Linked DNA regions of Macaca mulatta. The protein of the gene in region 1 binds, or shares a complex with, the protein of each later gene. Links are inferred from orthologs where the notes say so. Each region holds a gene or a part of one and is shown on either strand. Other genes may lie near its edges.

Region 1 (3,981 bases):
TTTATGTATTTTCATTTATTTTATTTTATTTATTTTATTTTTTGAGACAGGGTCTCACTCTGTCACCCGGGCTAGAGTGCAGTGGCATAATCACAGCTCACTGCAGCCTTGACCTCCTGGGCTCAAGCAATCCTTCCGCCTCAGCTTCCCGAGTAGCTAGGATTACAGGTGCACACCACCATGCCCAGCTAATTTTTTTATTTTTTGTAGAGACAAGGTTTTACTATGTTGCCTAGGCTTGTCTCAAACTCCTGGGCTCAAGTGATCCTCCCACCTCAGCCTCCCAAAGTGCTGGGATTACAGGTGTGAGCCACTGCGCCTGGCCAGTTTATGAATTTTTAAGCAAATATGAATATAATCATTCTTTCACTCTTTATGATGAAGCTAATATACCCTTCATCACATTATTATTATTTTTTGCTTAACAATAAATCTTCAAGATTACCCTCAGAACCTCCTTTTCATACCTGCATGGTGTATCCCAGGTATCATAAGTCAATTTTTTAATATAAGCCTATCTTAGACAATTTTGTTATAACAGCAATGCCATATGACTTGGTGTCATGTGAGTTTTTTTGAAGTTCTAGTTGCTAGACAAGGCAGTTTCTAGTTGCTAGACAAGGCAGTTTCTCTTTCTCAGTACTTCCCTCATTGAGGTCACCTGATAGTGAACATTACTTCAAACCTCACCATGTTGTGTTTTTTTTGTTTGTTTGTTTTTGTTTTTGTTTTTCTGAGACAGGGTCTTCCTCTGTTGCCCAGGTTGGAGTGTAGTGGTATGATCATGGCTCACTGCTGCCTTCAACTCCTGACCTCCTGCGTCAGCCTCCCGAGTAGCTGGGACCACAGGCTTGCACCACTACACTCGGCTAATTTTAAAATTTCTTATAGAGGCAGGAGTTTCACCATGTTGCCCAGGCTGGTCTCAAACTCCTGGGCTTAAGCGATCTCCCCACCTTGGCCTCCCAAAGTGCTGGGATTACAGGTGTTAACCACTGCACCTGGCCCAAACCTCACTATCTTATCAAAGTTTCTACTTAGAAATCAGAGTCCCTTAGAAATGATGTAAGCCTCTACTCCAGACTTCCTTGTCTCTCGTCTTCTAGTCCTTTTCTAGGCTTTGGGCAGGCCAGTGGACACTGCTCAGGTATACATGTATTCCCTTCTAGGGACCCTTCTCCTTCCCCACACAGTGAATGGCACACTCCTCACAGCTATCCTCTATTTTCAGCAGATCCTTCCATAAGCCCACTTCAGGCATATACCTCCTCCTCCTCCTCCTCCTCCTCCTCCTCCTCCTCCTCCAGGTGGCTATATTATTTTTGATTTAATATTTTATCTGGGGTGGGAAGGGAGCGTTTTCAGAGGTTTCCATAGTTTTTCCCCATTGTGATTGCTCTTACCCCAGGCCCTGGGCTTCTTAGACATTAACAGATCAGTAAGATGAGGAAAGACCAGCAAAGCAAACTGAGAAGGAGTGTTTTAAGGAGAAGAGAGCAATCACCTGTGAGTGATCCACAGGTGATCCACCATGTTGTGGTGTAGCAGTAGCCATTCATTCCCATTGATGTGGGATATCCACTGGATATGCCACAGTTTATCCATTCTACTGTTGATGGACTTTTGGGGTATTTTCAGGTTTGGGCTTTTAAGAATAGTGTTGTTCTGGAAAGGGCACACCACTACTTTCTTGGAATTCCTGCCAAAAATGCAAAATCCCAATCTAATCTTTAAAAAAACATCAGATGATAAACCCAAACTGAGAGACATCTACAAAATAACAGGTGTGTACTCTGCAAGAATGTCAAGGTCATGAAAGAAGAAATTTTCCAAATTAAGGAAGAGTAAGGAAATGTGAAAAATGCATGATTGGATTCTGGTCCTAGATTGGATTCTGGGACCAAAAAGTCCTAGATTGGATTCTGTACTGGGGAAGAAATATATAGCTATAAAGGACATTCTTGAAAGGGTTGGCAAAATTTAAATATGAACTGAGGACCAGATGACAATATTGTGTCAATGTTAAATTTTCAGTTTTGAAAATGCTCATTCCTAACATGTAGAGACACTTATGGGTAAAGGAAAATAAAGTCTTCAGATTAAGCTCAAATGGTTCAAAATTGAATTTTATAACATTTTTAAAGGGTACTGGCTGCTCTTGGAATGGCGCCAAAAAGATGAAAGAATTTTATAGTAACACCCATATAGCCACACCTCCTAGATTCTACAATTAACATGTTGCTATGTTTGCTTTATCACATTTCTATCCAAAAACTGCCCATCTGTCAACCTTTTTTTCCTGGTATTTCAAATAATTTTCAGATATCAGAGCACTTTACCCCTGAAAGCTTCAGCATGCACGTCATTGGCTTGAGTTCACTGCAGAGTCACCTGACTATAAATGTGTGGCTCTGTTTTTGCACTTTCTGTTCTGTTACATTGGTCTTTTATCTTTCTTCTTACCACAGTGCCTTAAATCACTTTAGATTTATAATGAAGAGGTCTTGCTGCCTGGTAGAGTAACTCATTTAGCTTTGCTGTCTTTGAGATTAGGGGAAGGAGTCACAGTGGCAATGTATTATTGTCATCACCGTGGTTTGGGGCCCAGTCCTAAGCACCTAATTCTACAGGTAGAAGTTCTTTGTAGCCTAAGAGGTGATTCATGAGAAACTGATGTTAACCTGAATTACCTTTGCTGCTGTGTGACTGAGAGCATCAGGTTGTTCAAGGAAATACAGAGGAGAAGGGGACATGCCAGAAACCCTTGGAGCCTGAGGTGCTGCAGGATTCAGAATCTTTCTAATTTTGTTATATATTATGTAATCTCCCAAGTAGGATCCAGGGGAGCACCATGTAAATCAAGGCACATTAATATTTCTGCAGCAACCTAGATAAGCATGTCTGTTTTACTTATTTTTAGAGACAGGGTCTCGCTCTGTTGCCCTGGGACTATAGCTGGGACTATAGGTGCATACTACCACACTTGGCTAACATGTCTATTAAGTTGGAGAAATAAAGCTTACAAACAGCTTCATGTTAATTCAAATAAGAATGAGGCCAAACTTATGAAATAAGTTTTCAGAGCCTCTTGAATGTTAGAATTGCAGATTGTGGACTGACTGTGGGCCTTGCTCCTGATTTCATACATTGCTTTGTTGTTTTGACTTGACAGGCTGTATCGCATCCATTGAATACTGTGACCGAGGACATGTACACCAACGGGTCTCCTGCCCCAGGTAGCCCTGCCCAAGTCAAGGGACAGGAGGTGCGGAAAGTGCGACTCATACAGATTGAGAAGGTCACAGAGGAGCCCATGGTAATCCCTCGTCCTATTGTTGCCCACCAGTGACTCTTCTGGCCCAGTGAAGGAGGCTGCTCATGGAGTTAGGGAATTGGCCAACCCCAATATTGTCTTTTCATCCTCATCTCAAATTCCTCCTCAAAGCAGGCTTCATGCCTGTTCTAGCTGAGGACTATCCTGGGTATAAATAGAAAATGCTTTTCCTGCGAAATTGCCATAAGTTGTTTCTAAAGTAACCTCAGAAAGACCTTAAAATAAAGCTTATCATGCCATTATCTTTATTTCAGGGAATCACTCTGAAGCTGAATGAAAAACAGTCCTGTACAGTGGCCAGAATTCTTCACGGTGGCATGATCCATAGACAAGGTGCTCTGTGGGAGCTCTGGGTGGGGTTTTATTCAGGGATTAATAATTTACTCCCTGTTCAGTGGTGTGGGGCATGAAGCTTACAATCCTCCAAACTGGTAGCATTTTTGTGAGTGTGCCAAGAGACTTTTTGTGGCTTAATAACTGGCTCTGTAGAATCACTACATGATAAGATCTCTATGTGAATTGCCCAGTGTGACCATCTCTCTATCTGACCCTTCTTTCACACCTATTTATACCAATATTTTTCTAGTAGTTAATATTTGAACAATTGCCACATGCCACCCATTGCATTAGACTTGGAAAGGACAGCA
Region 2 (4,506 bases), on another chromosome or scaffold:
ATAGATGAGGAAATCAAGACTCAGGGCATTCGGTGAGGAGTTTATTTCAATTCAACATGGCTGTGCTGCACATGGCAGTTGGACTAAAGATCTGTCAGCATCGGGGCTTCTTCATGATCTAACTAAAGTGAATCATAAGTGCTTTCCCACTGCGTCAAGAAGGCCTGGAGTTTGTGCAGCCCAGGTAGAGGTGAGCAAAGCCTCTGTGTTGCACATCTCCAGGGCTCAGCCTCTCATTGTATTCAATGAGATGACAGCCCCAAAGGCACCGCCCATACATTGTACAGACAACTGGCCTGGCTCTCTGGATTGTGCAGGACAGGCCTTAATGGCAGAAGGTAGGGGAGACGAGGGCGTCACGAAAGTGCTTGGGGAACTATAAAGTACATATGTTTATTGCGGCACTATTCACAATAGCAAAGACTTGGAACCAACCCAAATAACCATCAATGACAGACTGGATTAAGAAAAGGTGGCACATACACATCATGGAATACTATGCAGCCATAAAAAAGGATGAGTTCATGTCCTTTGTAGGGACATGGATGCAGCTGGAAACCATCATTCTCAGCAAACTAACACAAGAACAGAAAACCAAACACCGCATGTTCTCACTCACAGGTGGCAACTGAACAATGAGATCACTTGAACACAAGAAGCGGAACATCACACACCTGGGCCTGTGGTGGGGTGGCGGGAGGGGGAGGGATAGCATTAGGAGATATACCTAATGTAAACGACGAGTTAATGGGTGCAGCACACCAACATGGCACATGTATGTATATGTAACAAACCTGCACGTTGTGCACATGTACCCTAGAACTTAAAGTACAATTAAAAAAAAAAAAAAAGAAAAGCAGCACAGGACGGTTCAGATATCACACAGGAGAAGCACAGGGTGTTCCCCTGGGCGGGGATTTAAAACAAGGGCCTCAAGTTCCCTGCCCTTGTCTCTGGGCAGAAGGGGCAGATAATGCTATGATACACTTTTTTGTAGGTGGTGCCAGTTGACTGCATTTAACCAACCAAGATATGTAACGAAATCCTTGTGGAGGTTTTCATGGCAAAAGTAGAGCGAATTCACAAACTGCACTGTGTCTGGCAGCTTCAGACAAAAGCAATGGGAACAAATCACAACCCTTGTCCAGCAATTCTTCCTGTTTTGGAACGATCTTTGCTCAACACCCCATCCATGGGTACAGGGCCCCCAAAGGCCAAGAAGACAGGGACTCTCTCCAGGGACAAATGCCCCGTGGCTAGCTCAGAGAGGCCGCCCAGCTATCCAGCGGCCGCGCAGCCAGCCAAGATTTCAACACAGGTCTGCCCTATTTGGTCACCATTCCCGACAGTGCTGGGCCAGGCCAGCAAGTCACATTGGCAAGTTCTCCCTGCACTCCAGGGGGAATTCTCAACCACAACCTCTGTATCCGGTAGTGGCAGATGGAAAGAGAAACGGTTAGAAAAGCGTGGTTCTTGCGCAGGAAAGTTGGAGCAAAGAAGAGTTCAGAAGTGGGCGGGTGTGTGTTCAAAAAAAAAAAAAAAAAAAAAAGGGTGGAAACCCTACCAGCCAAGTCTGCAGAAAAAAAATGAAGTCTGCCTATCTCCGGGCCAGAGCCCCTCCCCTCGGCCCGCGCGGGAGGAGTGTGACCCAGGTGCCGCTTCCTCTCGCCGTTGAGGGTCAGTAGCCCGGGAGCGCGACCCTCCCCCGGCCCGGCCCGGTCCGGCCCTTCCCCGCGGTCTCTGCCCGGGCTGATGCCCAGGACGAGCAGCCCCAACGGCACGGCGCGGCCACTCAGCCTCGGTGAGTACCCGCCGTGGGGAGGGGTCCTGGGGACCCACTGGAGGCCGCGGCCCGCAGCAGCCAGGGGCCGAGCCGCGGTCACGGACTCCCGGGTGTCCTGGTCCTTGCCCGGCCTCCAGGCGGAGGAGGCGCCCGCTGGGCTCAGATCCCCGACTCCAGCCCCGGTTCCCCGGCGCCTGGGCTGCGCGGAGTCCCTGTCCCGCGTCCCGGACGGCGACGCGCAGCCTCCACGCGCCCCGAGCTGGAGAGGCCGCCAGCCCGCCCGCCCAGGGCGTGTCGCCCGCTCTCTGTTTCTTTGTGCGGGGCATGGGAAATGTGTGGGGCCAGCACTGTCCCCCTAAAGAACAGTTAGGGAAGAGTCCACATCACAAGTTGCGTCTGTGCTGCTCCCTAGCCAGGGGCCGACCGGGCAGGCTCTGGTGAACTCCAGGCAACTCCAGCCTTGCCCAGGGACTTGCTCGCTCCTCTGGGCGCTGCAAAGGCACACAGATGCGGGGAAATCCTGCGGCCTGGATCCTTTGGGGATTTGTAATTCCTCGCTGTTTGTTTTCTTTCTCTTTTAAACCATTACGTTTTCTTGCTGACAGGAAATCATATGCGATGAAAGTCTTTGTAGGTGGTTGGAAACATTGCTGGGCCTCTCTCTGCGCTCTTCCTCTGCTGTTACTTTTGCAATAATAACTACCATTTTATTGTACCTAAAAACCTAATGCATATCCCTCTTATCCCCCACCCTGCCTGGGTCTTATTCTTAGAGTCTGTCAGAGAGGAGATAGCCTGAGCCTATCATGTGATAATGTTACCTTATTGATATGATGATGATATGGGTATTGGAGACACCAACTCAAAGTCTTTGAAATCCAGGGGGTTGTGAGGCCTCAACCCCACCCTGCCCGAGCCTGGAGCTTGGCATGGAGGAGCGTAGCTTCGGTCTACGTGTGTACACGGCACTCCGTGTGCCCGTGGTTGTGCTTGGGTCGGCCTGGGAGTGCGCGGGCATAAATGGTACTTGAGAGCGAGGCCCCTCAGTCTGCACTGGGATCACTGCACTGCCTCTAAACAAGGCAGCCTCTCTTAGCTCCAGTTTCCTCATCTGCAAAGTAGGAATAATAACAGGAGATTCCTCATCCAGCAGTAAGAAGTCCGTATCAATGTCCCGGCACGGAGACTGACACATCATAAGTGCTGGATCCGTGCTGGGCATGTTTATATCATTGTCCATGAGACTGTGGTTCCCGGAGTTTACGTGTGTGTGTAACTTGAGCACGTGTTTGTGTGTGTGTATATGGCGGGTCCTGGGTTAAAGGGACAGAAGCCACTGTCATTATTCCAATTCAGGCACTGAGGAGGTGAGGCTGATAGGCATTCCCATGTCTGAAGAGGATGGGCTTGCCTGACCTCCGCCCCCGTGCCCAGCCCAGCCCAGCCGCCCAAGCAGTTCTCCAGGACTCAGATTTCAGACCTTCAACACTTGCCTTGGGAGACAAACAGCTGCGCAGCCCTTGCTTGCAAGCCATTCCGCTTTAGACTTCGGACTGATTTATGGCAGGATCCCTGCTGTGCGAGAACGGCAGGGGGTGGGGGGGGCGGAAGGGGGGCGGCTATTTCTTGCTGCTAACTCAGGCAGGATGTGTCTATATCCTGTCTCAGTTTATGTAGCCGCTGCTCATCAGAGCCAGAGGTTAGAGTGGAGAGGACCCACTTCCGCCAGGCAGGCCTGCTTTGCTCAGCTCAGCTGGGCTAGGTCCCAATGCCACATTTACTGCGCGGGAGTCATGCACAGCGATCCGTGGCCTTGCCCTTGGATGGAAGAGGTCAAGGCTCAGTGAGAAGATGGTCAGGTTTGGCAGCTTTATATAGAATACACCGCCTCTGGCAGAAGCAGAGGATTGCATTAAGTGCCAAATGAAATTCCACCTCAGCCATTGCTCAGTTCCTCCAGATGTCACGGGCACTGGGAGTCGCAGGGCGCTGGTGGTCAGCAGCTGGACCTTTCCAAGGGTGCCAGTGGTTGGGCAAGTATTTCTGGGGACTTGCAGAGCTCCCTGGGGAGCAAAGGGGTGGGAAGTACAAGGCATTCTGCGCTTGTGGTGGGAACAAGTGAACTCGTCTGCAATGAGTAGGAAGAGGTCCCCTCCCTCCACAGGGGTGAGAGGTTGGGCCAAGCCAAGTCAGTTTGCCTCTTCGGGTGGCAGACCTGTATATACATCTATGCCTCAAGTGCCTGTGAGGCCACAGCCAAAACATCTTCCAGTAACTGAGCACACACAGTGGGCCAACAGCACGCTCTAAACACAAAACCAAACAGTAAAGTTAACAGTGAATGAAGGGTTAAAAATAGGAAAAAGACACCTTTCTCCCTACCTCAATGGCAATTACTGTATTTATTGAGGATAATCCTTCTAGAAGTAAATTTGCTGATACAAATATTTCTTATTTGACATAATAAAAACTTATTTTATATATTTAATGTCATCTTGCTTTTTCCCTCAGAATATCTCTGAAAGGTTATACCTTGTTTTTTTCTTTAACCAGTTCCTCTGCTGATGGGCATTTAGGCTGTATGCAGACTTCATTTAATTTTTTAAACCACATACAGTACTCCTGTGACAATGCGTAAGGAGGATTTTACGTGCTTGTGTCTGTAAACTGTTGGGATAAATTCTCCCACCTCAGCATTTGATTTCTGGGACAAAGTATATATC

What was found.
Region 2: the proteins of MPP1 (region 1) and GYPC are in contact, whole or in part, in an NMR structure (PDB 2EJY), measured with the Homo sapiens proteins. The link is inferred for Macaca mulatta from reciprocal best matches to the Homo sapiens genes MPP1 and GYPC. Residues at the interface, in NP_002427.1 of Homo sapiens: Pro81, Met82, Gly83, Ile84, Leu86, Lys87, Leu88, Leu100, Val130, Gln134; in NP_002092.1 of Homo sapiens: Arg123, Lys124, Glu125, Tyr126, Ile128.

The regions. Positions count from the first base shown.
Region 1 is NC_133426.1:161,083,895-161,087,875, reverse strand, and holds part of MPP1 (55 kDa erythrocyte membrane protein), read left to right. Parts: intron 1-3,172; coding exon 3,173-3,316; intron 3,317-3,588; coding exon 3,589-3,667; intron 3,668-3,981. UniProt on the Homo sapiens protein: Essential regulator of neutrophil polarity. Regulates neutrophil polarization by regulating AKT1 phosphorylation through a mechanism that is independent of PIK3CG activity.
Region 2 is NC_133417.1:10,656,757-10,661,262, reverse strand, and holds the start of GYPC (glycophorin-C), read left to right. Parts: upstream 1-1,650; 5' UTR 1,651-1,752; coding exon 1,753-1,801; intron 1,802-4,506. UniProt on the Homo sapiens protein: This protein is a minor sialoglycoprotein in human erythrocyte membranes. The blood group Gerbich antigens and receptors for Plasmodium falciparum merozoites are most likely located within the extracellular domain.